7 linked regions of the Oryctolagus cuniculus genome follow. The protein of the gene in region 1 interacts with the protein of each later gene in a biochemical or structural test. Links are inferred from orthologs where the notes say so. Each region holds a gene or a part of one and is shown in the gene's direction. Other genes may lie near its edges.

Region 1 (3,500 bases):
AGGGACTAGATTGCAAGGATGTGGAGAAAAGAATTGGCTGGAACCCGGATCCACCTTAACAGTTACCTGCTCCTACAGAGGGAGAGTGGGCCTGGAGTACCTCCTGGGGCAGAGCCCTCTGCTCTGACAAACAAGGAACTGGAGGAAGTAGAGCTGGAGCCAGAACTTGACCTAGACCTAGACTTGGAGGCAGAAGAGGACACCCTGGCAACCACACTGGGCTCTGCTCTCAGCCTACCAGTTGGAACTCTTACTCGACCACGGGGGGTAAGACACTGTAACTACCCAAGACTCCACACCAGGCCCGCACAAACCCCCAGACCAACTACTCACGGCCCCCATGGTAAGAGTAGGATTTCTTCCTTCATCTGAACCTTTTTCTTACTTCTTTCCTCCCAGAGCCAGAGCCTGTTAAGTCCATCATCTGGATACATGCCCATGAACCAGAGTGTTCTTGGAGAGGCCTGCCAGGTGAGCTCTGCTGCTGACACGAGGTGGCTGAGGGGTAGTGCAGGAAGCATGAGAAACTGAAAAGGCAGGCAACAAACAACCCAATCTTCTTCTTTTTTTAAGCCTTATTTTTATTTGAAAGAGTTACAGAGAAAGGTAGAGTGAGAGAGCAATAGAGAGAGGGGTCTTCCATACACTGACTGGTTCACTCCCCAAATGGCTGCAATGGCTGGAGCTGAGCTGAGCTGATGCAAAGCCAGGAGCCAGGAGCTTCATCCGGGTCTCCCATGTGGGTGCAGGGGTCCAAGCATTTGGGCCATCTTGCACTGCTTTCCCAGGTTCATCAGTAGGGAGCTGGATCGGAAGTGGAGCAGCCAGGACTTGAACTGGCACCATAAGGGATGCTGGCACTGCAGGCCAGGGCTTTAACCTGCTGTGTCACAGCACCGGCCCCCAACCCAATCTTCTAAATAAAGCCTTTCCTGTCTCTAAATCTGTTATCCTCTCTTTACCTTCCTTCGTAGGAGTCTGCAGTTTGTGGGGGCAGTGAACGATGCCCTCGTCCGGTCTCTCTGCACCCAGTGCCACGGGGCCGCCTGACCTCCGAATCGTCAGAAGGTCACGTGACAGGCTCTGAGGCTGAGCTCCCGGAGAAGGTGTCGGTGTGCAGGAGCCGCAGCCGCAGCCGCAGCCCACGGCCAAGGGGAGATAGTGCCTACCATTCCCAGCGCCATAGCCTGCTTACGCCCGTCACCCCTCTTGCCCCGCCAGGATTGGAAGAAGAGGATGTCAACGGTTATGTCATGCCAGATACACACCTCAAAGGTGCCTGACTCCTCCTGCAGCTTTCTCTGAATTCTCGTCTTCTCTGATCCTATCCCTTCCTATTAATTTTTTCTAACTTTCCCTTCCCTTCCCCTACCTACTGCCCATTACCATGAAGTTCTCCACCTACTTATCCTCTCTGCTCTTCTCCTAGGTACTCCTTCTTCCCGAGAAGGTACTCTTTCCTCAGTGGGTCTCAGCTCTGTCCTGGGTACTGAAGAGGAAGATGAAGATGAGGAGTATGAATACATGAACCGTCGGAGAAGGCCCAGCCCATCTCATCCCCCTCGGCCCGGCTCCCTTGAGGAGCTGGGCTATGAGTACATGGACGTGGGGTCAGACCTCAGTGCCTCCCTGGGCAGCACGCAGAGTTGTCCTCTCAACCCTGTGCCCGTCATATCCACTGCTGGCACGACACCAGATGAGGACTATGAGTATATGAATCGGCGACGCGGTGCAGGTGGCCCGGGAGGGGATTACACAGCCATGGGGGCCTGCCCAGCAGCTGAGCAAGGGTATGAAGAGATGCGAGCTTTCCAGGGGCCTGGTCCGCATGCCCCTAGTGTCCGCTACGCCCGCCTCAAAACCCTCCGCAGTTTAGAAGCCACCGACTCCGCCTTTGACAACCCTGATTACTGGCATAGCAGGCTTTTCCCCAAGGCTAACGCCCAGAGAACATAGCCTCGACTCCTTGAGACACTCGGGGAGCGTCTGATGGCAGCTAGTGCCTCTAGAGGGTACCCCTCATCTCCCTACTCCCCCCTCCACAGGTGTCAGCCCCATTTCTCTAGTCCTAGACAATTCCATTCAACCTTTGGAGGCTTTGAATCCCTTTGACACAAACTTCTTATGGTTTGTAGCCAACTGTGCACTTTGTTCTCCTTCCCAGCCCCAGGAAGGAGAAGGTTTTCCTACTTTGTGTGCTTTCCCAGGACTCCCTGGAGACATGAAGGATTACTCCCCACATCCCTGTAGCTCAGGCCCCACCTGTTAGTATGAGGCCCGGATATGTGCCTGTTTCAGAGTGTCCTAAGAACACAGGGGCAGATCTGGCAGAAGAAAGCAAAAACTGGGTACTTTTAACCCCCTGCAAAGGTTGCAGAGCTTAAAGTTCTGTAAAGAGCAGTTAGGAACAGACTATTACTCTCGGCTCTTCACTGCGGGCCAGGCAGCAAGCGAAACTTTACCTACATTATCTCCCTTAATCCTTTATACTCCTTACAATTGTGTGACAGAGAGATGACCCTGTTTTACACCTAAGTAGTCCCCCCTCCCCCATCCTCAGGGGATAATGTTCCAAGACACCCAGTGAAACCACAGATAGCACCAAATGCTGTACTTAATGCCCTTCCTCCTGAACTCCATGCACTACGGCCATAACTTGTGCATTCCGTGGTGCAACAAGAAAAGTAGCACAGAATTCCATGGATAAAGGAATCGTCTGCACTGGAGATCCGGCGACTTCTGCGTACACTTTTGGCTCCTTTACTTACGAAGACGTTCACCTTTTCACTTAACGGAAGCACTTCTCTTTGGTCGATGTGAATTGCCTGCATCACCATTAAACAAGTAAGGGTTCCTAGAACACAGCCACTTTTGGATACCACAACAGGAGATCTGATAAGCGAGAGTGCTACCGAGGGACTAAGGGCAGTGAGGGACGACTACACTGGACAGAGGAAGAGCAGGATGGTGCTAAGATTTCATCATGCTACTCAGACTTATCAATTGTTGATTTTCCATGTAATTGTTTTGGACTGCAGTTAACCACAGGTAACAAGCTGTGGAAAGACAGCAGATCAGGGGGACTGAGCCTTAAAGACTGGGTAAATTAAGCAACAGGTCCAGGTTTCAAAATCTTCCCAACAGAATGCACGTGTTCTTACTGTAAGCTGTCATGGAAAACAGATAAGTCAGAGAGCCCTTGTAAGGTGCATTTTACTTGTGTGTGTGTGTGTTTTTTTTTTCTTTGCACTGAATCAAGTTTAACCCTCCTCTACACCCAGACTTCTCATCTCAGGAAGTGGTGGGGGTGAGGGGGTAGGAAGGAAAAATAACTGGATGTTTTTGCATAAACCGTAACTCTCGTGATCACTCCTAAGGGCAGACTCACAAAGGTCCCCAGGCCCACCTGTAGGAGCTGTTCTCCTCCAGTGGTGAGACGCTTCCAGGTGGGAGAGACAGGACCCTGCTTTAGACCTCCATCCCCTTGGGAGGGGAACTGG
Region 2 (3,938 bases), on another chromosome or scaffold:
AGAGAGAGAGACAGAGCTCTTCCATCCGCTGGTTCACTCTCCAAGTGGCCACAGCGGCCAGGGCTGGGCCAGGAGCTCCATCCTGGTGTCCCGCATGGGCCGTCCTCTGCTGCCTTCCCGGGTGCCTCAGCAGGGAGCTGAGCTGGAAGCAGAGCGGCCGGGGTCTCTGGGGTACGGGATGTGTGAGTTGTGGGTGGTGGCTTAACCCGCGGTGCCACAACACCGGCTCTCCGTGGAGTCTCCTGTAGGAAGCCTGGGTGTGCTGCTCCAGGGAGGGCGGCCATGGGGACCGCGGCCTGCAACCCCACCGGCCCTGGGAAGGGGCTGGTCTGGCCGTGGCTTTCCTACGGGACCCTCCCACTGCCCAGACTCCTGGGTGCTCCCCATGCAGCTGCGTACCTCCTCCACGGCAGCTCTCGCATTTCTTCTAAAATGCTGTGTGCGTGGGGTGGGTGTTCAGCTCAGCAGCTGTGGGACACCTACACCCCACCTCCAGGTGCGTGGGTCAAGTTCTGGCTCCTGCTCCTGTGCACCCCCCAGAGGGCAGCAGGCCATGACCCACGCACCTGGGGCCCTGACCCCCACGTGGGACACAGTTCGGTGTCCGTCTGCCTCAGTCCTGGCTGTTGGTGGTTTGGGGAGTGAATCAGTGGGTGCGAGATCTCTCTCTCTCAGGCATAAATAAGTGCACCATACGGGCAGGCCCCCGGGACAGGCGGCCCTCCTGCGGGTTTGCTTTTGGTCGCCCTCGGTCCTCGTGTCCCGCAGCGAGGCCGGCTGGTTCCAGGGCAGCCTGTGGTCCTGCTCCCCACGCCCTGCTGGTGAGGCAGTTCCCGGGAGGCTGGCGGGGTCCTATCCCAGACTGAAAACTCGCGCAAGCCCGGGAGCCCGCCGGCCCGCGCGCGCGGAGGCCTGAAACCCTAGCGGGGCCGGGCGCTCGTTGCGGGCCCAAGCGGCTGCAGGCGCTGCCCAGCCCGGCGGGCGGCGTCCCCGGGGCTCCGCGGCGCTGCGGGCGGGGCGGGGACGGGGCTAATTCGTGTCAGATGCTGGGCGCCGCGCGCGGGCTTTTGTTCCCGGCGTCCGACTGCCCGTGGCGGGGCGCGCGCGGCCGGGCCCCGCCGCCACGAGCCCTCCAGCCTCCCGGGCCGCCCACCTTTCCCCGGGCTTTCCGCACGCGCGGCGCCGGCCACCTCCCCTGCGCGGACCGCCGCTCCTGAAGGCCCGCGGGCGCCGGGGCGGCCATGAGGCTGCGCGCCCTGACGCGCGGGGCCGGGACGCGCCGGAGCCAGGTGAGTGCGGCGCGCGCGGGGCCGGGCCGCACGTGGACCGCACCGGGCGCGCTCGCTCGTGTCCGCGGCGTGCTGTGGGTGCGCGCGCGCCTGCTCGCCCACGCGTGTGTCCCCGGGAGCGCGCGTCCGTATGCGCGCAGGGCCGGTGGGGCTGTGGTCGGAGCGGGGCTCCGGGCTCCACTCCTCCCCCTCCAGCGTCTCTCGGAAGCGCTTACTCCGCTGGCGTGGAGGTGGGACGCGGGCCTCGGCGCGGACTCGCTGCCTCGAAGGTAACGAGCGGCGTCGCGGCGCGCGCAGGTGGGCTGGGGCCGTGGCGCCCGGGGTCCCCGGGACAGCTCCTGGCCGAGCCCACGGGGCTGGGGACTCGCCCCGGGTTCAGCGGTAGCCGCTTCCCACGGCAGGGCGTTTGCTGCGTTCGTCCCGAAACTTTTGCGCGGTTCCCGAGAGCGCAGGTCACCAGAGCTGTCCCTGCGCGCCCGCGCTCAGCGCAGCGCGGGGCGGGCGGGGGCCGGGAGGGCTCTGCGGGCCCGGGCCGGGGTCGCCGCTTCCGCCCCGGTTTGCTCCCCGTCGGTGAGGTGTCTGATCAGGCCCCGCCTCTCGGGGTCGCTCCCGCAGGCTGTCCTGCTGCCCAGGGCCACCCGGGACAGCGCAGCCGGCACTGCCGCCTCCACTTCAGCGCGGGGCCTGCAGCGGCGTCTGCGGTTTTGCGTTTGTCTGCGTGCAGCTCGCTCCCTCGGGCAGCTTCTTCCTCACCAGCGGAGGCCCTGTGAGAAGCTGCACTAATTGCTGTGCCCCTCAGGGGGTCCCCCAGCCTGCGGGCTCCTCTTCCTGCGTCTCCCTGCTCACAATTACATGCAATTTAGATTCCTGAGCGGGGCCTGCTGGCTGCTGGAGAGGCCGGACCAGGTGGAGACAGGGCGGTGTGGCCAGATGTGCTTGCGCCGGCCCCGTTCCCTCCCTGCCGGTCCCCTCCGAGGGGCTTCTCGCTGCACCAGCGGGCAGGGGAGCTGCGGGGAACAGTGCCTCTTTCTCGCCGGGGGCAATAAAGGTATTTGTAAGGAGGAAAAGGCCAGCGCGTTCCTCCTTGGCCCGCACACTGTGGCCGATTCATTCGGTCCACAGACGTTCATTGAGGGGCCACGGCGCGCTGGCTGCCAGGCACCGAGGACAAAGGGGCCCGGGCCGGTGTCCTGCCTCCAGGAGGCTGCAGTGGGGTGCAGGGCGAGGCCCAGCTGGGGTGCTGCTGGACAGGGCCGTGAATGGCTGCCCCTGTGAACGCGGGGCTGGGGGGGAGACCAGCCCGAGCCCCACATCCCTGCTGCGTGGGCTGCCCAGAGCTCGCCGTCCCCACTTGGGCCACACGCTGCTGCCGACAGGGACACGGATGCGCCCTGCTAACACCGGGACCCCCGTGACATTGGGCACACAGCGTCTGCTCTCAGAGAGTCTGGTTTCTGCCGAAAACACAAGAGTGAGAGGGCTACTTGCGGAAGCTCACGGAAAAGTGAGGTTGAAAAGTAAGTTGAATTTGGTCCAGACTGTTTTGAAATCTGTGTGTAGTTTTGATTTTTTTCATAATACACATTTTTTCATGAACTTTTTGAAGTATGCATGGATTTTGAAGTAATTTTTTGCACAAAATAAGCCTGTAGTGTAGTTCCAGGTTCTGGGAGCCCTTTGAAGTGGAGCCCCACGGAACGGTGGGCACGGGCTTGGCGGCTAATTGGAGTCACCTGGGGGAGCTTTGGGCCCTCGCCAGGGGTCTGGCTCCGCCCCCAGTAATCTGATTTAATTGGTCTGGGACGGAGCTGAGGCTGAGCTCCTTATAAAACTGTGCCTGGGGCGGGCATTGTGGCACAGCGGGTTGAGCCGCCGCCTGCAACGCTGGCATCCGTGTCGGCGTGCCGGTGAGCCCTGGCTGCTCTGCTTCTGATCCAGGTCCCTGCTAACGAGTCTGGGAAGGCGTCAGGAGGGGTCCTGGTGCATGGCCCCTGCTACCTGTGTGGGAGACCAGGAGGCGTCTCCGAGTTCTGGCTTTGGCCGGGCCCAGCCCTGGCTGTTGTGGGCATTTGGGAAGTGAATCCGTGGGTGGAAGATCTCGCTCTGTCTCTCCCTCTCTTTGTCATTCTGCCTTTCAAATACATTCTAAAAAAATACAAAATGAAACAGCAGCAGTGCTCAAGTGCTTCTTATGGACTGGCGTTTGTCTCTGGTCAGGAGCTCTCCTAAGAGGCGGGAGGGGTTGAGAGAGGCGACTTGCCCAGGGCCCCCGCGATTGGACTGCAGGTGGCAGATCTGACGTGACGGCTTCTGCCTGCTTCAGGACACTTTCCCTAGTGGGACAGTCTGCACAAAAGCCCGAGCGGATGTGGTTATTGACAAGGCCACTGCAGGACTGAGGTGGGGACTAGAACCGGGGATGACAGGGAGCTACAAGTTGCCCGCCTTCCAGGCAGCTTGAATGACAGTGGGGAGACCCAGGCAGTCCCAAAGCTCGGGCATGCTGGCGTCAGTCCTTGGCCAGTCCCGGCTCCTGGGAGTGGCTCGCGGAGGCCAGCTGGAGGGGTGGACGTGCCGGGCTAGTTATGTCTGCCGTAGTGGGGGAGTGAGGAGCTGTGTGCCTGTGCCAGCATCGGGGAAAGGGGGAGT
Region 3 (4,046 bases), on another chromosome or scaffold:
TTGGCTATTGTGGCCATTTGGGGAGAGAACCAGCGTGTGGGGTCCTGGGGCCCAGCTGCCCACACTCCCTTCCTGCCCGCGTCTGTGTTTATCTCTCTGGGCTTCACTTACTTCATCTGGGAAATGGATTGAGTGGGCTAATGTAAAATGCTGACCACAGTGTCCATCACACAGCAGGTGCGACTATTAATACTGCTGGGGTCAGGCACTGTGGCATACCGGGGTAAAGCCGCCGCAGGCCCAGCTCTGGCCACTGTGGCCATTTGGGGAATGATGAAAGACTCTCTCTCTCTCTCTCTCTCTCTCTCTGCCTCTGCTGCTTTCTAACTCTGCCTTATAAATAAATCTTAAAGAAAAAATGCTGCTGGGGTTGGTGTGATTCGGATGCTGTCACTGGGCTTCTCTTCAGTCTTCTAGAATATTCTGCCACTATTACCCAGATAAAGAGGAGCCAGTGTGGAGACAGGAGGCTTGGTCTGCGTCTCTGGTTTCCACGCCACCTTCGGGGCACAGGAAGGCATCTATTGAGGATAGTTTTGAGGGGGTGAGCACCCTCCTGTGGGCGAAGGGAGGAGAGGTTGAGGAAGAGGCTAGAGCAGGAGGCGGTGGCCAGCGGGGCACAGCTGTGAGGGCAGCGTTGGAACTGGACAGGTGCTGGGGGACGCCCTGTCTCTGTGTGTGACTCCTCTGGGAGCCCAGAGCGCCATGGAGCCCCTTGGGGTGCACCCAGGGCCCAGGTGTGTGGTCTCCCCTGAGCTCAGCCACCCCCTGCAGCCTGGGAGCCCGCCGAGGGCACGGATGGGCAGCCAGCGGCAGGAGGAACCTGAGCCTTTAGGGCTGCACCGACTTCGGGGGTTTGCCCCCGCCCACTCTAACCTGCCCATGGAGTGAAGCAGTCATTCCTCTGTGTGCTTCCGCCAGGCTTGATGGCTCTCGGCCAGGGAAAGCGAGTACTTCCCAGCTGCCAGTGAGCCTGGGGGGTCCCCAGCCTCCCGCGCCCAGGCTCACCCCTTTCTCCTTCCCAGGCTTGGGGTGCGGGGGAGGTGCTGCGATCACAGAGGTCACCCCCAAAGGAGCCCTGCCTGCCGCTGGCCTCGCCACTCCCCACCCCCACTCCAGACCCCTGGTGCCAGGGCTGGCACGCGATGGCCCCGGAAGTGCCCGCCGCCCGCCCCGGAGCGTGCGGCCTGCGATTTTCCTTGCACACAGCACTTTGTGACTCTGACGCAGACTTCAAACGGCCCCCTTTCCTGTGTTGACAACAAGGAAATAGGTGGCATTTCAGAGAAGCCTGCTGGCAGGAGCGCCCCAGACACCAGGCCTTCCGGCCCGCAGCCCTGCCCTGCTCTGGCCTCGGCGCCACTGCTCCGGCACCCAGGTGAGTGGCAGGCCTCGGGCCTGCTGCCCAGGCCTGGCCAGTATCAGGGCCACCCCAGGACCTCGGCCTCGGGGGTGCCTGGCCTACAGGAGTGGGGGAGTGGAACTGCCCCCAGGTGAAAACCCCTGCAGGGCGTGGCCTCCTCGTGTGTGTGTGTGTGTGTGTGTGTGTGTGAGTGTGTGTGTGTGTGTGTGTGTAGGCGGGGGCGCCCATGGGCTCTCGGGCCCTGACTCGTCACCTAACAGCAGCTCTGCTTGTTTGGGGACCAGAGACCCCGCAGGCGGCCCGTTTTCCTCTGCATCCACCTGCCCAGCCCCAGGTAAGTCTGGCCACGTGGAGCCGCAGCTGGCCCCCATCTCTGGCTGGCCTGTGTCAGGTGGAGGAGGACACAGCGTTAGCTGGGAGTGGGGAGCTCCTGGGGAGGCCCCGGCAGGCAGGGCCGTGGGAGCTGCGCGCTGCGGTGTCTGCCTGGAGCGGGAAGCAGACACGGCTGTGGCCACTCTTAGGGGAGCTGCTCTGCTCCCAAGGGTCAGCGGGCCACAGGGCTGCCTGCCCGGCCCCTGGCCTCCTGCTGGGCCCTGTCAGGGCTGCCTCCGTGGCTCCAGGAAGCAGAAGGAGCTTCTGAGGGTGCAGATGTGAGCTGTGGCTCCCTGGCCCTGAGAACGTGAGACTAGCTCACCAGGGCTGCGGACTCGAACAACGCATGGTTTCCACGCAGGGGCTCCGGGTCGGCCTGAGCCGCTCGTAGGTGAGCTCAGGTTAAAGGCCCGGGGCTGGGGGGGGACTGGAGAACTATGGGAATGGATCTCTCAAGCTCTGAGCAACTGCTGTGTGTGCCTGGCAAGAGGCTTGGCCTCTCTGAGCCTCTGTCTGTGCATCCGTTAGGCGTAGATGAAACTATGGGTACCTCGGAGGCGCTTGGTCCCTGACTATTGGGAAACGTGGCTTAGCAAGGGACAGGGGCTTGTGTGGTCAGCAGCTGAGGATGAGCTTCATTTGTCTTGTCTGGGCCAGCACAGCAGGTGACTGATAAAGCTTTGCTGAGACATTAGGGTCAAGTGCTCCCAGGACAGAGGATCCTTAGATGCCAGGGCTGCTCCTTCCTTCCTTTCCTGCCCTGTCCTCCCTGGCAGGGACCCCCGGCAGGCAGCCTGGAAGGGGAGGAAGCGCACCTGGAGCCAGCAGCTGGGCATCCTCGGGAGAATCGCTTGCCCTCTCTGTGCTCAGCTTCTCTGTCTACAAATCCTAGTGGTGAGTGATAGTATCCAGGGAGCCGGGCACACAGGTGCCGTCTAAGCATCTTGCTAGACCCCTCGTCCTGCCTGGCTCTGGGTCGGCTCGGGCTCTGCACGCTACAGCTGCTGCAGATGCCTGGTGGGGTAGCAGCCAGCCCCGCCATGTGGGTCCCCGCTGCCCTGCATTGAGGATTGGGGTTAAGTCGATCACTCTCACATGGGCCCCACTGCTGCCTCTTTGTCCCGGAGCCTAAGGTTCAGAGAGGGAAAGCTCCTTGCTGAGGTCACACAGCTCACAAAACGCAAGCAGTGGAGGTTGAGGTGGGAGGGACTGGCCTCACTGTGTGTGGAGTGGGGGGACATTGTTTAGTCCATCAACAGACACAGAGAACAGAGTTGGCTGGATTCAGGGACCTGCCCCTGTCTCCCCAAGAGTCGAAGGTTGCTGGGCCAGCTTGGGGGGTCGATGGAGACGTGGGGTCCCCTGGGCCCAGTTAAGAGCTGAGGGTCCTGCTCTTCTGGTAGATGTTCCCTAGGGTGGCTGGTGCCAGCTGCTGTGTCAGAGAGACCTGGGTTTAGGTCCTGACTGCCACTTGCAAGGTCACTGACCATGACCTTGAGACCCCTCGGAGCCTCAGCTTCTTTAGCTGAGGGAGGGGCGTAAGCGTCCTCATTTAATGGAGTTGTAGGGGGGCTTAGATGCAATGGACAGTGTCCCTGAAGGGCTGTGGGAGCTGTTGTTGCTGTACCCATTTGACAGACATGCACCCAGAGGAGTCAGGGGCTACGGGAGGAAGCCAGGTGGCCATAGGCTATGCCTTTGGGAGCTCAGCCGGGCCAGAGATGGAGGAGCAAATAGACAGTGATCGTCCAAGGCCATCAAGGCAGTGATGTCGGAGGGTGGAGACCCTGAGAGCCCAGAGCGCCACCAGACCCAACCTGGGGAGGGAGGTGCAGGAATCATGGATGGTACTAGGGGTGGGGGTGGGGTGACAACCTGGGGGCCAGAAGCACATGGCCAGGAGAAAGGCATGGGGGCAGGGCTGGGCGGTGGGCCCTGCCTGGCCGAGGCTCTCCTGGCCTGGTCCCCTCCTCTCTCTGTATTGGTTGGAGGAGAAGGCCTCCTCTCCCTCCCCTCCCCTCCCCTCCCCTGTCCCTACCTCTCCCCTTTCACTAGGGCTACTCCCAGGTGTCTCTGCCCATCACAGCATAGAGGAGGGCATTTCAGAAAGTCGATGGGAAAGTGGACTTCAAAGATCAGTTTATGTGGGTGTCAGGGCTGGCCTTTGGCACAGTGGGTTTACCTGCCACCTGTGATGCCAGCACCGCCTATCAGAGCGCTGGCTTAAGTCCTGGCTGCTCTACTTCCAATCCAGCTCCCTACTAATGCACCTGGAAAGGCAGTGGAAGATGGCCCAAGTGCTTGGGCCAAG
Region 4 (3,942 bases), about 130 kb from region 1:
CCAGCAATCTTTGCATATGCAAGTCCATTTTACAAATGAGAAAGCAAATATAAAACGCAGTACCAGTTGGCTCCTCCTCTCCCACCGCTTTAAGCCTCTTTATTCTGGATTTGGGGTCCTCACCTTTAATTCACTGCCCACCTTGGTCAGGGACTTTTTTTTTGGGGGGGGGGATGGCATTCCAGAGACAGAAACTGGCAGACTTACCCCCTTTGTAAGAAAGGGAACCCTGGGCAAAGACAGCATTTGCATTAGTCCCTCCCTTAGTTCCAACTGCAGTCGCCTCACTAGATCGGAGTCAGTCCTCCTCGGCCCGCCCCACCATGCTCCCCAGGATGGAAAAGCTCAGAACCTTTAGTTTCCTTTGGGACCTGCCAGATGGCCAACAAAAGGTAGATAGTTCCTGTACTGTAGTGTATACGCCAAATGCATGAAGACAAAGTGCGCATTGCCAGTTACTTAGCGAATATCCATAGCAAATGCCACTTGAGTGCCAGATTAGCCTAAGAGGTGGAGTAACTGTAATGCCGTGGCTGGCCCAACTCATCTACTTTCCCGGAGAGCGCTTTGGGCTTCCCCTTCACGTCCCTCGTGCCCACACCCTCGTTCGTAGTGCTGAGGCCTAAGGAGATCAAACGACAGCCCGGGCAGAGGGGGCGTTTTCTTCCCCCTAGGTGCTTCAAGGGGTCCCAGAGTGGAAATGGCACGAGTGTGGCTGGCGGAGAGGCGGGCAACCGCTTGAGCATCTCCAGATCAAAGCTTCGCGGCCGGACCCGCCCCCGCTCCCCACCCGCGGCCGCCTTGTTCGCGGCAGTATCCATTCCCATGACTCTGAGTCATAGGGTCGGGAGGCTCCACGGCGCTGACCACGGCTCTGGAAGCGCGAGAGGGGCCGGCCCGGACGGCACCCCTCCGCATCCGCTCCAGGGAACAAGTCACGTGCGTCCCTCCACGGCAAAGCGTCGCCTCCCAAGGTAGGAATCTTCGGCCTCAGCCCCGACGCTCACGCCAGGAAGACCATAGAGTTCCCCCTCCAAACTGGCTATACAGTCCCGGCTGGGATCACAAAGACTTCCGGCCTGGAGCGGAAGCCCGGCTAGCCCGCGTCCCACCTCGTTGGCCGCGCGTGGCCTCCAGTGCCCGTCTCAGTTAAACAAGGAGGCGGGGTTTGGTGACGAGCTTCCGCCGGGTTGCGTAGCAGCGGTGGGCAGGGCAAAGGATCCGTCTGAGGCAGCGACGAGTGGTCGGAACCTTCTTCCCCCTCCTTCCCCTTCCCCTTCCCCCTCCGGGGAAAGGCTGGGGCTGGGCACCAGGGCTGTTCGGTAGCCTGTGCGGCCTCAGCTCCAGCCAGGCTTGGGTACGGCGAGTCCAGACCGCGTCCAGGGCGGTGCGTACTGCGCCTGCGCGGGCTTCCCCCTAGAAAAGGGTGTGGGAGGGGAGGGGGCGATGTCCCGGGGGTATTGGGGCGAGGGTTGGAGATATTGGGGTTCAGGAGAAGGGACTGGCGGGAAAATGAGAAATGGAGGAAGGGCGCAGCGCTGGGGAAGAGTCGGAGTGTGAAGGGGGCTCCGGAGGTCGGGTTGTCGGGAAAGGATCCCTGGAAGAGGCCAGCGTGGATATGTGCTGGGGAACCTTGCAGGAGGGGGCCCGGGCCGGCTGGAGGAGGCGGAAGGGCGGGGGAGCAACTTGCTGTTTAAATGGGCAGCGGTGGTCCCCGAGGGGACGACGGGACCATTCCGGGGCCAGCCAGAGCTTCGCCGGGGCCGGCGGAACCTGAACCTCCGCCCTCGAAGCGCCATAGCTTGGCTTCTCTCCCGTGCCTTGTGTTTGGCAGCCTTGTCTCTTCCCTTTCATGCTTTTCCGCTCCTCTTCCCCTCCCACCCCTCCATGAAGGAATCTCGCATTCCTCACATCCTTGCCAGTGGTTTGCAGCCCGGCCCTCTTGTAGGCTTTGCACACCGGAAAGCCTTCCGCCATCCAGGACCCAGGAAAAGTGGGGAGTGAGGGGGGCAGAAGGAGCAGGGAACTTCTTCTGGAGCTCCTTCAGGAGCAAGGAGCAGGACTGAGGCATTCCCCGTTAAGAAGCAGGCTTCATTTCGCTAATAGCAAACGTGGCTATGACCGAGGCCTGTATTCCTTGAGACTGACGTGTGATGGGCAGTCAGCGTGAAGTGGTTTTAGTTTGATAATAGGTCTAGAGGCTGATACCTTTGCTGGCTGCTGGTCTTCCCCCGGTTGGCGATGGACGGGCTGGCCGCTGGTGCAGTAGCCTCATTACCCTGTGTTGTCCACTGGACCTTGGAGCTGCCCCAGTTCCCAGTAACTGAAGAGATGGAACAGATTTGTTTCCGATGTCCCCTCCCAGCCCTCAGTAGCAGTGTGATGAAGGTGTTCACAGTTCTTCTCTCCCACCAAGCCCTGACAGTAAAGGAGGCAGATAAGGCAGGTGCCTTTCCCCCTGCCTGACAGTTGAAGAAACTGAAAACCACCGAAGGGTCACGTGGCTTTAGGGTCATACAGGAGTCTCCTGACTGCTGACCCCCTGCTCTGGTGTAAAAGCTCCTCTTGTTCTGACCAAGGGGGCACTGAGGTAGGGTCGTCTCTCCCAGCATGAGCAGCTGTTTGCCTTCTGAACGTGGAAGCCATCACGAGGAGAGAGCATAGCCGACAGCACTGGTTCCTGGAAACAAATCTTGAGATTCAGGAGCATGTGCCAGTGTGCTGGGAAATGGGGTGTTGTTAAAGTGAAAGACGCACTACACCCTCCTGTGTAGGAGACTTGGATTGGGTTCTGAACTCACTGGCATCCCGTATTGCAGTGCTGGTTAGAGTTCCAGATGTTCCACTTCTAATCCAGCTCCCTGCTAGTGCACCTGGGAAAGCAGCAGAGGATGATGGTCCAAGTACTTGGGTCCCTGCCAGCCATGTGGGAAACCAGGGTGGAGTTGGGGGCTCCTGTCTTCAGGCTGGCCCAGCCTTGCCCATCTGGGGAGTGAACCAGTGGATGGAAGATCTCTCTACCCTCCCCACTTCACTCTGCATTTCAAATAAATAATCTAAAAAAAAAAAATTACTCCTGTACCAACATTGTTGAGCATGTCTTTAGGAAGTATTATTTTTATTGTGGAGAATAAATAATTTTTTAAAGATTTTTTTATTTATTTGAGAGGTAGAGTTACAGATAGTGAGAGGGAGAGACAGAAAGGTCTTCTTTCCATTAGTTCACTCCCCAAATGGCCTCAACGCCCGGAGCTGCACCGATCCGAAGCCAGGAGCCAGGTGGTTCTTTCAGGTCTCTCACGTAGGTGCAGGGGTCCAAGCACTTGGGTCATCTTCTGCTGCTTTCCCAGGCCATAGCAGAGAGCTGGATTGGAAGAGGAGCAACCGGGACTAGAACCGGCACTCATATGGGATGCTGGTGTCACAGGCAGAGTATTAACCTGTGCCATGGCGCTGGCCCCAATAAATAGTATTTTTAATATGGAAAATAAGGCCAGCATTGTGTTTACATGAAATAAATTGCATGAAAGCATTTGGGGAACATAAAAACATAAAGAAATAAAAACATAATACCATAAGGTATTTGGGTATATGTATTGTGGAGCTATAGATTTGGAATTACTGATATTACTTGTAGTGTGTGCTGAATAAAAGAATCGTTTCTGTCTGCAGCATTTCCTCTTCTCTCCCTTTCTTTTGTGCTTTCCTGTCCCCTACCAGCTCTGTGTGAATCTACTGAACCCTGTGAGTGATTCCTTGGACAGTGGTCTCTCTCCTTAGAGAGCAGCCACGTATGCTTAGCACTGAAACCTGTGGTCCTTGCTGGAGTCATCGCCTCCCCAGCGGCCTGACTTCACCTCCTCGTCTGTCCGGTCTCACTGCCAAGTGGAGGTAGCTCTCCTGACTCAAGTTTCTCCTCCTTGTTCCTATTAATAGAGTGTT
Region 5 (4,085 bases), on another chromosome or scaffold:
AGTGTGGGAGTGGATATAGGCACATAGGAGTGGAGAGGGCTATCATGCCGAGCTGGGCTGTGGGGAAAGAATAGGTTCCCAGGTGGACAAGGTGGAGGCAAGGCTCCCTGGACACTGAAGACAGCAGGTACAGAAGATGCCAAGAGACAGCACCACGGGCTGAGCATCACGAGGACTGGGGCTGGTTCTCAGGACGTGGAGCTGGCTACGCAATGAAGCCCACGCAGACCCTTGTTGAAGATCTTGAACTTTACTCCCAAGAGCAGCAGCATGGACAAATCATATTTAGACTTTACTTTTAGGAAGATCACTCTAGCCTTGGCAGGACTGGAGGTGGGTGATGAGACCCATGAAGAGGCTCTGCAGTAAGCCAGGTGAGTCAATGAGGACTTGGAGTTCAGGAATTTGTCAGAGTTGGAGAGGAAGTAGAGAAACTGGAGGTTTTTCAAAGGACTTGGTGATGATTGGCTGAGGGAGAGTAGGAGATTAGGCTAAAGGACTAACTGGAGTGCTTTGGGTGGCCAAGCAGATAACGGCATCATTACCAACCACAGGGAATTTGAAGCGGGGTGGGAGAAAAGAAATGATGCTTTGGCCTCGGCTATGCTGAGCTTAAACTGCCTCTTAGCCTTGGTCAGCCATGGGCCAGTTTCCTGCAAGGTCCAGTCAGTGGGAAAACTCCCCAAGACCCAGCTGTTCAGCTGGGCATTCTTCAAGGCTAAAACCTGAGTTTTGAAAACCCTCTGGCCCTTTATTGATTGGAGAATGGATGACGGACTTCTTCTTTTTTTTTTTTTTTTCCTTTTCAGTTTTCACTTTGGGTTTGGTCTAGTTTGAAATCAGATGCTGGTTCCAGGGGAGCTAACTCTTCTTTGCCTCTTGGAAGCCTCAGATTTTTAAAAAGAAACCATTTCCAGGGAGCGGCCTCTGGCCCTGCAGGCCCTGGCTCTCAACTGGCTCCCAAGAAGCCAGTAGAGGATGAGGCTGGAGAGCGGCAGCCTGGACTACTGGCGGAAGCCTGGAGTCTCTCGGGAGCCTATGACTGTCCCCACGGCCACCTCTGGCGAAGTGTCCTCAGTGTTGAGACAAGGCTGCTTTGGAGCCCTAGCCCTTTCCAAAACCACAAGGCTGGGCTCCTTCCCCCACCTTCCCCAGCACTAGCCGGGCGGTGGCAGGGCCGAGCACATGGGCTCGCTGGGGCCGGCTCCTAGATTCCTCGTGGGGAAGGGAGAACCGGGCGCGGGGGTGGGGGTGGGGGCGGCTGACCTGCCACCCTGGCCTCAGCAACCTGCTTGGCTCCTGCCACCCATGGTCGAAGGCGGGGGCACGCCCTGTGTCCCACTCCCACGTCCACGGGATGGGGCGCAAAGCCGAGATCGCTTCACCGCCCTCTCCTCACGCACCACCCCCGCTGTCATGCTGAAAAATCCCAAGAGCAAAGGGTGGCACGATTCCTCCCGCGCCCCTGCGGGCTGAAGGCGGGCACTAGAGCAGTGCAGTCCCAAGCTTCCCCTGCAGAAGCCGCGCTCCCCGCTCGCTCTGGGGGTAGAGGGGGCGCGAGAGAGCAAGTGGGCGGGCGTCCCGTCCTCCGCATCCTCCTCCAGGTCCTGGCGCGCAGGGTGGGAGCGCTGCGCTGCGCCGCGCTGCGCATCGCGGCCCGCTTGCCGCCTGCCCCCTGCCCCAGCCGGGCCACCTCCCCGGGCTGCCGCGGGAGGGCTACGAGGCGCTAACGTTACGCTGTTTCCGGTTTTCCAGCGGGCTCTGATTCCCCTCCCAAGGCGGCGGCGGCTGAGCGGCGGAGCCCCCCAAATGGCCTGGCCAGATGCGGCAGGTTTGCTGCTCAGCGCTGCCGCCGCCGCCACTGGAGAAGGCTCGGTGCAGCAGCTACAGCGACAGCAGCAGCAGAAGCAGCAGCAGCAACAGCAGCAGCAGCGACAGAAGCAGCAGCGGCGAGAGCGGCAGCAGCAGCAGCAGCCCCGGCGGCGGCGGCAGCAGCAGCAGCAGCAGCAGCAGCAGCAGCAGCAGCAGCAGCAGCATCTCCCGTCCCGCTGCGCCCCCAGAGCCGCGGCCGCAGCCACAGCCGCAGCCCCGCAGCCCCGCAGCCCCGCGAGCCGCCGCCCGCTCGCGAGCCGCAGCCGCCGGCGGCATGAGGCGCGACCCGGCCCCCGGCTTCTCCATGCTGCTCTTCGGTGTGTCGCTCGCCTGCTACTCGCCCAGCCTCAAGTCGGTGCAGGACCAGGCGTACAAGGCACCCGTGGTGGTGGAGGGCAAGGTACAGGGGCTGGCCCCGGCGGGCGGCTCCAGCTCCAACAGCACCCGCGAGCCGCCCGCCTCGGGTCGGGTGGCGCTGGTGAAGGTGCTGGACAAGTGGCCGCTCCGGAGCGGGGGGCTGCAGCGCGAGCAGGTGATCAGCGTGGGCTCCTGCGCGCCGCTGGAAAGGAACCAGCGCTACATCTTTTTCCTGGAGCCCACGGAACAGCCCCTAGTGTTTAAGACGGCCTTCGCCCCCCTCGACACCAACGGCAAGAACCTCAAGAAGGAGGTGGGCAAGATCCTGTGCACCGACTGCGGTGAGTCGCCCCCTCCCTCTGCCCGAGGAGCGGGGGAAGGGCGAGGCGGTGGGGAATGGGGGTGGGGCGGGGAGCGCTGCAGGTGCCCGGGCCCGGCGGTGGCCGGCCGTGGGGGGGTGGGGCCGCCCCCAGGCAGAGCGCCTGGCACGGGTGGGTGAGGAGGGGGCTGGGACTGGGGCGACGAAGGGCCGGGCTCGGCGTGGGCCAGGGGCAGGGGGCGAGGGGAGGAGCGGGCCTGTACCAGCAGGGATCTGCGGCTGATGTCTTGCAAGTGGGTCTGGAAAGCTGCCATCATAGCCCAGTAGCGGAAGCGAAGACCGAGCGGTCCGGCCGGCGGCTGGCCTGAGGCTCGGTGAGTCAGGAGCGACTCTCGGAGGCCTGGTCCACTCTGCTCCCAGGAGCCTGCCGGCCCGGGCCGGCAGGGTCTGCCGGAGCATCTGGGCAGGTTCCCAGGCGGTGGAGGCCTAGGCTTGCAAGTTCTCCTGGGGGAGGATCGCCCCCGCCCCCTCCTTCCTCTCCCGGGCTCGCGGCTCCGCGGGTCCCCGCCGCTGGCGCAGCCAGAGTTGGACTTTCTCTGCTACGGTTCTCCGTCCTCCTTGTGGCCCGGGCTTTATCCTCCATCGCGACCGCCTGTCTTTGCTCAGTGAGCCGCACAGCCTGTTCTACGTGCAGTGTCTGGGGGATCTCACGCGGTCTGTGGATCGCGATGGCGATGACACGGAGTAACTTAGTTCTGCCGACGGCTCTAAGTTCAGCTCTGACACATCTCCCTGGCCGCCTGCGTTCACTGCGCCTCTTACCTGTATGATGTCGGGGCCGCACAGGAAGGCAACTGATCAGAAACACAACCCCCACGACGTCCTAGTCTGTAGGTCTGTGCAGCTGGGGTCGGAGGTCGCCCGTGATGGGAGCTTTTTCTTCTGCTCCCCGAATCCAGTACCTCTCAGCAAGAGGTTTCAGACGGAACTGTGCCCACCCTGGAGTGTTGGGTGTCGGCCTGCTTGAGCTTATTCGTAGTATGGGTTCACTGTGTTGCGTTCGGTGTGACTCCCAGCCGCCGCGCGATCACTGAAGCGTGGTACCTATCCTGGACTCTCATTGAACTTGGTGCCTCTACTGACTGAACCTGGGTAACACAGGCAGGCCTGGGGAGTAAATTTCGTATTGAAGCTCAGAGGAAGTGTTGCTGCCGCCCTCCTATTTCTAGATCAATGCCTTTGACTTCTGGAAATCCCTCTCCCCCTTCAAGAGGGCAGTTTTGGGAGTTTCCTTATGGGGGCACATCCAGGCGCTGTGGTCACTTGAATGAGAAGAATCTGGGGAGTGTCTTCATAAGGAAAGAAGAAACAGGGGAGAACAGCAGTTTATCGTTCTGACATTCCTTCTCAGGAATAGTGTCGATTGGTTGTTAATGTTGGTTTTATGCTCTGAGATATTTTATGCTGACCAGTTAAGGCCAGTTAAAAATTTCTATATTTTTTCTGTTACTCTAGTAAGTCTTTTATCTGAGATCCC
Region 6 (4,222 bases), on another chromosome or scaffold:
GGAAACGGAGCGACCGGGCTCCGAGCTGCCTCCCGGATGTGTTTCGGGAGCCCTGGGCGGACCTGGGCACCAGGATCGGGGAGACTGTGACAGCCTCGAGATAGCCCCTGCCTTCCAGCATGCTGGTGTGTGCTGGTGTGGGTGTCCCACCCTCACCACCTGCGACCGAGACGCCAGCTGAGGTGGAGCTGCAGGGAAGATGAACCTGCCCCGGTCACGGCCAGACGGCCAGGTGGCCGAGACCACTGCTGGCCCCACCTGTTGCTCCTGGCATTCATGGTGGGGTGGAGAGGCGTGGAAAACACGGAGCCTTTCCTCGGGGCCGGGGGGGGGGGTGTTCCATGCCCTCGGGGGCTGCTTGGGTGAACCCCAGGCCTGCTCAGAGCAGCACCTCGTCTCTGACCCTGCAGAAGCCTCTCCATCTGGAGTCCGGGTGCCAGGCAGTCTGTCTGCTGAAGGTAGCGTCCATTCTTTCCTGTGCCCTCTGCAGTGGAAACGGTGTTTATCCTGAGTCGGCCATGTTCCTCCTCATCCACCCGTCTGACTTCCTGTCACGGCGACGTGGACGCTTTTTCACTGGTGTGGAGCTCCTTCAAGGGGTTGGTCCCACAGTCCTGCTGTCCCTGGCGGGCCCTTCTCCCTCCGTGCCCCTCCCATCCCTCTATCCTGTCCCTGCCTTTGCTCCTTGAGGAGCTGCGGGTATTGGCGTGAGGGAGGAGAAGGTCAAGGCCATACCCCGAGAAGGTCAAGGCCTTACCCCAACGGTCACACCTGTGAGGGGGACCCCCCCCCCAAAGAGTCAACACCTGGCCACATTGGGAAATGTTTTCCTCAAACATCGTCAGATGTTTTGCGCTGAAACCTAACGTTTTCTATATGAAAGCACAGCTAAGGCAAAAGGTAAGGGAAAGGCCAGAGGTGTCCCCGCCGGAGGTGCAGGCAGAGCGGCGGCGGCGGCGTCCTCACTGTGGTTTCCCCGGTGAGATTTTGCTTACGGTTTCCACTGTGATGAAGCGAAGCGCCTCAGCGTGGTCTGCAGCGTGGCTGTGGATGTCAGCCCTGTGTGGAGTAGAAATGAGGGCCCTGGCAGCCCCTACCCCGTGCGAGCACAGAACATTCTGGGCTGCATGTTCCCAAAGCTGCATGTTTCCCCCAGGAACCGTGGCCTCGGGCCCATCCCTCTTCCTATCAGTTCCTTTATGTGAGAGGGCGTTTGAGTTGATTTTTAAGACCTCTTTGACCACAGTTTTGGGGTTCCTTGGTGATGTTTGCTGGGGCCACTCAGGTCTGGGCCCGAGGAGCTGAGAGAAGCCCCTTCACAGAAGTGGGTGCAGACGAGTGCGCTTTCGATGTAGGCCATCAGGTTGTCATTCACACGCCCCGTCTGAGGTTTTGAGAACAGGAAAATAGGTGGGGCTAACTGTGCCTGTGAGAAACGTCCTGGTGAGCTATGATTTCGGTTCAAAGCCGTGCCTCTGTGAGTGCAGCACAGCCGAAGAACCGAAGACGGTTTTGTTTACCCCCGCGAGCTGCAGCCATGATTCTGTCCACCTGTGAGTACCGTGGGCCTCGTCCCCTCTCTCTCTCCCTCTCTCTCTCGGCTTGTTCTGGGCGTGTGACTTTACTCTCAAACACCGCAAGTTTTTCCTAAGGCGTAGAGCTTGTGAAATTGTGAAGATGATTTCCACAGATGTTGTGACAGCGTTTTGTTTCTTATTTAAATAACCACTGTGGTGATTTAATTGTGGTCACTGCCCAGCATGGAGAGCACGGGTGGAAAACAAACACCATGTCCTTCCATCTATGCCACGGTGCTGCAAGAGCTGGGGAGAATGGAGAGCAAAGACGAGTTAGATTTGCTGTGCAAACAGCTTTGAAGTGCATGCATTGTTTTTTCGTAATGTGCATTTCCCACAAGCTTTTTGAAGACCCCTGTGTGCACTGATTTCAAAAAAATTTCAAAACCAATGTCTTGAATTCCCTTTTCCACAAACTGGCGGTTTCTCATGTGTGCGTAGAAATGCATCGGTGTGACGTGTTGTTAAAATACCCAGTGTAATCAACTTGGGACTAAAGGCCAGGAGACCCAGTTCTGGTTCGGGACTTGTCGCCAGCTTGGCGGTCACCCTTGGTAGCTGCTTTGTGTCAGGTCTCTTATCTGTAAAATGAGGACTCCCTTTCAGCCCACCTCCCAAAAATGTCTCATAAGCAATGGATACAAATGACAGGTGCTTCATGAACTTGACTTTGGTTGCTTTCCAAGATTATTCAGGGCACTCATGTAATTTTTGAAAATATTTGTTAATTTTTGAAAATATTTGTTAGAGTTAGCTCTATGATCCTAAGGCCTGGGAGGGCCTTATTATTTATAAGTAGTTTAAAGATAAGAGAAATGCTAGTTTTGATTTGAATTATGGATGCCTATAGGACCAAATTTAACAAAGCTCAGTCTGATCAGAGCAATCAAAGGCCAGCTAACGGTCAAGGTTTTGCGTTTCTGATTTTTCCGTGGCATCGGGAAAGCCCAATTGTAGTGTTTGAGTGTCGGCTGTTCAAGCCCAGTTACTGCACAGGGCCAACACTTGTCGGTATAATTTATAAAACAGCAAACCAGGCTATTTCAGTTGTGCTGACCTGAATATAACAGTCATCATCCACACAGATGAAAACGAGGCTGCCCCTTAGACATGCAGGCCAAGCAGATTGGAGCAGAAAAACGAAAAAGCAGCAACCTGTGTGTCCCCACCTCCCCAGGGAGCTGAGCAGAGGCGTAGCAACAGTTGTTAAATATAGAAAGCTGCACGGGCATGTGTCTTGGGTTTTCCCTGAGGTCGGTGCTGGAGAGAAGGCTGTACATTACAAGAGGAAGGGTTCGGTCATATGCGACATAAATAATTGTGAGGGTGGAGAGGTGGAGACGAGGGTTAGCTTGCCTGAGGGTAAAATCAGAGCCTGTTGGTGGGATATTTTGGGGATCACTGATGGCCTTGCTGAGGCTTCCCTGTCCCACCAGCTTCTGATTTGATTTGATGGTGAGACTTGCCTGCTTTTGTTTTTGTTTTCCTGCCCTCCACTAAAGCTAGATAGAGCCCTGTTCTCTCTGGGTGAAAACAACCAGGGTTTATTGTTGACAAGGGGCCAGCTGAACGATGCCTGGAGGCGTGTTGGCCAGAGTCGTTTGTGAAGTGAGTTTGCTGTGGTAAGAGCTCGCTGAGACTTGGCCCTGCGGGCTGCTCCGAGGTTAATCATCCAAGCGAGGATAGAGGATCGTGGGGAACAGGGGAGATTCTGAGTATCAGGGCACTGCTCCAGTCAGGTTCAATTTGTGAAAATGAGCAGCACCTGTACTTCCTTCAGCCCACAGCTGCCCTGAGAACAGAACAGCCCTGGGGTTAACGAGGACCAGGCCACGCTGAGAAGTGAAGATTCTGCCTCTCAGCCTCCTCCCCCTCCTTCCCCCTCTCCCTCCCCCTCCCTCTTTCCCTCCCTCTTTCCCTTTCTCCTCCTCTCCTTCTCTCCCTCCCCCTCCTCCCTTATATAAATATATTGTTCTATGTTCTGTGCCTTTCTTCCCCATGAAAGAAAAGATAATCATGTGGGAGGTGGTTCAGTCTCTGTCCTGGAGCGGCCCGGGGCCACTGATGAAATGCGAGGTTCTGGGCCGTCTCTGTAATTTGATCTGAGCGGGTGAGGATAGTACAGTGCCTCTCCTTGAGTGAAGTGGACCGAGCCCCTCCCTTCGCAAGGACGGACCTTGGCCAGGGGGATGGATGCCCGCGGTGGGGGCTGGGTCTCTAAAGGCAGGGCACTGGCCGGCCTTCTGTGAGCACGCACGGCCTGTGGACAGTCCCCGGGCACCAGGAACCAAGGCAGCAGGGCCGGCCAGCAGCCTAATGAGTACTTGGAGTGGAGTCCCCAGCTCCAGTTCAGCCTGCTTGAGGACAACCTCACGAGAGACCGTGAGCTAGAGGCATGAGGCTAAGCGGCTCTCGGGCTCCTGACCCATGGGAGCTGGGGGATGAAAAATTAAGTCACTAAGTCTGGGAACAGCTTCTTCCCAACCGCACATAACTGCAGCTACGCTTTTTTGTTTTTAAAGATTTATTGATTTGTTCATTTGAAAGGCAGACTTAAAGGGGCCGGCGCGGTGGTGTAGTGGGTAAAGCTGCTGCCCTTGATGCCAGCATCCCATATGGGCGCCGGTTCTAGTCCCGGCTGCTCC
Region 7 (2,617 bases), on another chromosome or scaffold:
TACGTGGCTGACGTGAACGAGTCCAACGTGTACGTGGTGACCCAGGGCCGCAAGCTCTACGGGATGCCCACAGACTTCGGCTTCTGTATCAAGGTGAAGACTCTGCCCTCCGAGGATGGGGGGACAGGAGGTACTCAGGCCCCAGGATTCCTGCCTGGGGCCCCGAGCTCCATCTCAGACACCCCCTCTTCACCCTGCCCTGCTGGAGACTCCTTGTGCTGGGGCCTGCTCTGTGGAGAGGCAGGGACGGACATTGTCCTGAAGGCAGGCGAGGGACCAGTGAGCTCCTCTTTCCGCAGCCCAACAAGCTTCGCAATGGCCACAAGGGGCTCCGAATCTTCTGCAGTGAGGATGAGCAGAGCCGCACCTGCTGGCTGGCCGCCTTCCGCCTCTTCAAGGTGAGGCTATGGAGCGCGGGGGGGTCCCGAGCACGAGGCGTCCTGGCCCCCCCAGCACATCCCTGCTGTCTGACAAGCCCCTGGCTTCAGGCAGCTCCTGTCCAAGGCCAGAAAGAGCCCTCCCCTTGGGGTGTCCTGAGCCCCAAGACCTCCTGACTCAGGCTCGCCCTCTCTCCGTCTCTCTCTCCCCGCCCCCACCCTCAGTATGGGGTGCAGCTATATAAGAATTACCAGCAGGCACAGTCTCGCCACCTGCGCCCGCCCTATCTGGGTTCCCCACCCTTGGTGAGTGTGCCTGGGGCACTGGGAGGGCGGACCCCCAGGCCTAGCCGGGCACTGTCTGACTCCTCCCCTTCCCGCCTCCAGAGGAGCGTGTCAGATAATACCCTGGTGGCCATGGACTTCTCTGGCCACGCCGGACGTGTCATCGAGAACCCTCGGGAAGCTCTGAGTGCCGCCCTGGAGGAGGCCCAGGCCTGGCGGGTGAGGGCCCTGCCCCCATCTGCGTACCTACAGGGGCCCTGCCTTCCATATGGGCTTCTGCAGAGTGGGAGGGGGGAGGCCCTACCCCCCACTCCTGACCCCCATGTCCCCCACTTCCACAGAAGAAGACCAATCACCGGCTCAGCCTGCCCACGCCGTGCTCCGGCACCAGCCTCAGTGCAGGTGGGGGATGGTGCGGGGTGCCCGGGGCTGGGGGCCGCTGCAGGCTGTCTGTGCCCTCCCCAGAGTGACTTCCCCTTTGCCTTCCTCCCTGCCCTCCGCCAGCCATCCACCGCACTCAGCCCTGGTTCCATGGGCGCATTTCCCGTGAGGAGAGCCAGCAGCTCATTGGGCAGCAGGGCCTGGTGGACGGGTAAGCGTGGGGCTGGGCGGGCAGCAGGTGCAGGACTGAGAGAGAGGCTGGGTCAAGGGCGCAGCCGGGTGTCCTGGGTAACTCTGCCCCCTCTTCCGGCAGCCTGTTCCTGGTCCGCGAGAGCCAGAGGAACCCTCAGGGCTTTGTCCTCTCCTTGTGCCACCTGCAGAAAGTCAAGCACTATCTCATCCTGCCGGTGAGTGGCCCCCGCCTTCCCCGAGATGCCCCGGTGCCTGCCAGGGAGACAGGGGAATCCTGGCACCTGGGCTCCTCCTCTGCCTCCCTTGGGGGGCCTCCCCGAGCCCCCGGCGTGCCTCCTTTTCCCCTGGACAAGAAATGGGGACCCGAGCCCTGGCCTAGGAGGGGCCTCCTCCAGCCCAGTGCCCTCCCTGAGCCCGTGCCCCCTGCCCCAGAGCGAGGAGGAGGGCTGCCTCTACTACAGCATGGACGATGGCCACACGCGCTTCACTGACCTGCTGCAGCTCGTGGAGTTCCACCAGCTGAACCGGGGCATCCTCCCGTGCCTGCTGCGCCACTGCTGCACCCGCGTGGCCCTCTGACCGCCGTGTGGACCCGGCATCAGTGCTCGGAGGCTCCCCGACTCCAGTGAGCTACTCTGCGCCGGTGCCTCCCCAGGCAGGGAATCCCCCCCCCCCCCCGCCAGGCCACCGTCAACCTTTCTTCCCGAGGGGAGGCACTTGGTGGCGGCCCTCACAGAAGCCCTGGGGCACTGGTCTGGGCAGGGCCTTGTGGGGGAACGGGGCAGGCCAGGTGGTCGTTTGCCCCACACCTTGTACAGACTGAGAGGCCAGTTGATCTGCTCTGTTTTATACTAGTGACAATAAAGATTATTTTTTGATACACCTGTGAGTTCTGTCTGGCAAGCCCTGGCGTTCCGAAGGCGGAGCCCTTGCTGAACGCATCAGGTGAATGGCGGCCACATCCTGGCCAGTGTGGGTGTTTCTCGAAGGCAGGCAGGGGAGGCCTTGGTCATTTGAAAGTCTGTAATGCCCAGCATGTACTGGATGCCTAACAATTGCTAGTTGTTGTTGTTGCTTAAGATTTATTTATTTATTTGAAAAGCAGAGCTACAAAGAGAGGGAGGCATAGAAAGAGGTCTTCTAAACTTTGGTTCATTTCCCACATGGACACAACAGCCAGGGCTGGGCCAAGTGGAAATCAGGAACCAGGAATACCATCCGGGTCTCCCACATGGGTGGCAGGCACCCAAGCACTTGGGCCGTCTTCCCCCGTCTTCGCAGGCACATCAGCAGGGAGCTGGATCGGAAGTGGAGCAGCTGGGCCCCAACTGGTGCTTCGGTCTGGGACGCCGGTGTGGCAAGCAGCAGCTTCACTGGCTGCT

The links.
Region 2: the proteins of ERBB3 (region 1) and TNS3 form a complex in vitro, tested with the Homo sapiens proteins (2 studies listed by BioGRID and IntAct, with this or other methods). The link is inferred for Oryctolagus cuniculus from reciprocal best matches to the Homo sapiens genes ERBB3 and TNS3.
Region 3: the proteins of ERBB3 (region 1) and ZAP70 form a complex in vitro, tested with the Homo sapiens proteins (2 studies listed by BioGRID and IntAct, with this or other methods). The link is inferred for Oryctolagus cuniculus from reciprocal best matches to the Homo sapiens genes ERBB3 and ZAP70.
Region 4: the proteins of ERBB3 (region 1) and RNF41 form a complex in vitro, tested with the Homo sapiens proteins (2 studies listed by BioGRID). The link is inferred for Oryctolagus cuniculus from reciprocal best matches to the Homo sapiens genes ERBB3 and RNF41.
Region 5: the proteins of ERBB3 (region 1) and NRG2 form a complex in vitro, tested with the Homo sapiens proteins (2 studies listed by BioGRID). The link is inferred for Oryctolagus cuniculus from reciprocal best matches to the Homo sapiens genes ERBB3 and NRG2.
Region 6: the proteins of ERBB3 (region 1) and TXK form a complex in vitro, tested with the Homo sapiens proteins (2 studies listed by BioGRID and IntAct, with this or other methods). The link is inferred for Oryctolagus cuniculus from reciprocal best matches to the Homo sapiens genes ERBB3 and TXK.
Region 7: the proteins of ERBB3 (region 1) and GRB7 form a complex in vitro, tested with the Homo sapiens proteins (2 studies listed by BioGRID and IntAct, with this or other methods). The link is inferred for Oryctolagus cuniculus from reciprocal best matches to the Homo sapiens genes ERBB3 and GRB7.

Annotation. Positions count from the first base shown.
Region 1 is NC_091442.1:58,900,312-58,903,811, forward strand, and holds part of ERBB3 (receptor tyrosine-protein kinase erbB-3), read left to right. Parts: intron 1-78; coding exon 79-267; intron 268-399; coding exon 400-471; intron 472-974; coding exon 975-1,275; intron 1,276-1,429; coding exon 1,430-1,956; 3' UTR 1,957-3,500. UniProt on the Homo sapiens protein: Tyrosine-protein kinase that plays an essential role as cell surface receptor for neuregulins.
Region 2 is NC_091447.1:53,271,958-53,275,895, reverse strand, and holds the start of TNS3 (tensin-3), read left to right. Parts: upstream 1-1,138; 5' UTR 1,139-1,241; coding exon 1,242-1,289; intron 1,290-2,615; exon of another isoform or gene 2,616-2,806; intron 2,807-3,938. UniProt on the Homo sapiens protein: May act as a protein phosphatase and/or a lipid phosphatase. Involved in the dissociation of the integrin-tensin-actin complex. EGF activates TNS4 and down-regulates TNS3 which results in capping the tail of ITGB1.
Region 3 is NC_091433.1:110,676,921-110,680,966, reverse strand, and holds the start of ZAP70 (tyrosine-protein kinase ZAP-70), read left to right. Parts: upstream 1-1,246; 5' UTR 1,247-1,378; intron 1,379-1,573; exon of another isoform or gene 1,574-1,697; intron 1,698-4,046. UniProt on the Homo sapiens protein: Tyrosine kinase that plays an essential role in regulation of the adaptive immune response. Regulates motility, adhesion and cytokine expression of mature T-cells, as well as thymocyte development.
Region 4 is NC_091442.1:59,030,313-59,034,254, reverse strand, and holds the start of RNF41 (E3 ubiquitin-protein ligase NRDP1), read left to right. Parts: upstream 1-1,142; 5' UTR 1,143-1,387; intron 1,388-3,936; 5' UTR 3,937-3,942. UniProt on the Homo sapiens protein: Acts as E3 ubiquitin-protein ligase and regulates the degradation of target proteins. Polyubiquitinates MYD88. Negatively regulates MYD88-dependent production of pro-inflammatory cytokines.
Region 5 is NC_091437.1:27,684,310-27,688,394, reverse strand, and holds the start of NRG2 (pro-neuregulin-2, membrane-bound isoform), read left to right. Parts: upstream 1-1,285; 5' UTR 1,286-1,822; coding exon 1,823-2,570; intron 2,571-4,085. UniProt on the Homo sapiens protein: Direct ligand for ERBB3 and ERBB4 tyrosine kinase receptors. Concomitantly recruits ERBB1 and ERBB2 coreceptors, resulting in ligand-stimulated tyrosine phosphorylation and activation of the ERBB receptors.
Region 6 is NC_091433.1:41,322,264-41,326,485, reverse strand, and holds the start of TXK (tyrosine-protein kinase TXK), read left to right. Parts: upstream 1-1,422; 5' UTR 1,423-1,450; coding exon 1,451-1,553; intron 1,554-4,222. UniProt on the Homo sapiens protein: Non-receptor tyrosine kinase that plays a redundant role with ITK in regulation of the adaptive immune response. Regulates the development, function and differentiation of conventional T-cells and nonconventional NKT-cells.
Region 7 is NC_091448.1:22,653,676-22,656,292, reverse strand, and holds the end of GRB7 (growth factor receptor-bound protein 7), read left to right. Parts: coding exon 1-93; intron 94-299; coding exon 300-398; intron 399-602; coding exon 603-683; intron 684-764; coding exon 765-881; intron 882-1,003; coding exon 1,004-1,064; intron 1,065-1,166; coding exon 1,167-1,254; intron 1,255-1,356; coding exon 1,357-1,450; intron 1,451-1,667; coding exon 1,668-1,814; 3' UTR 1,815-2,117; downstream 2,118-2,617. UniProt on the Homo sapiens protein: Adapter protein that interacts with the cytoplasmic domain of numerous receptor kinases and modulates down-stream signaling. Promotes activation of down-stream protein kinases, including STAT3, AKT1, MAPK1 and/or MAPK3. Promotes activation of HRAS.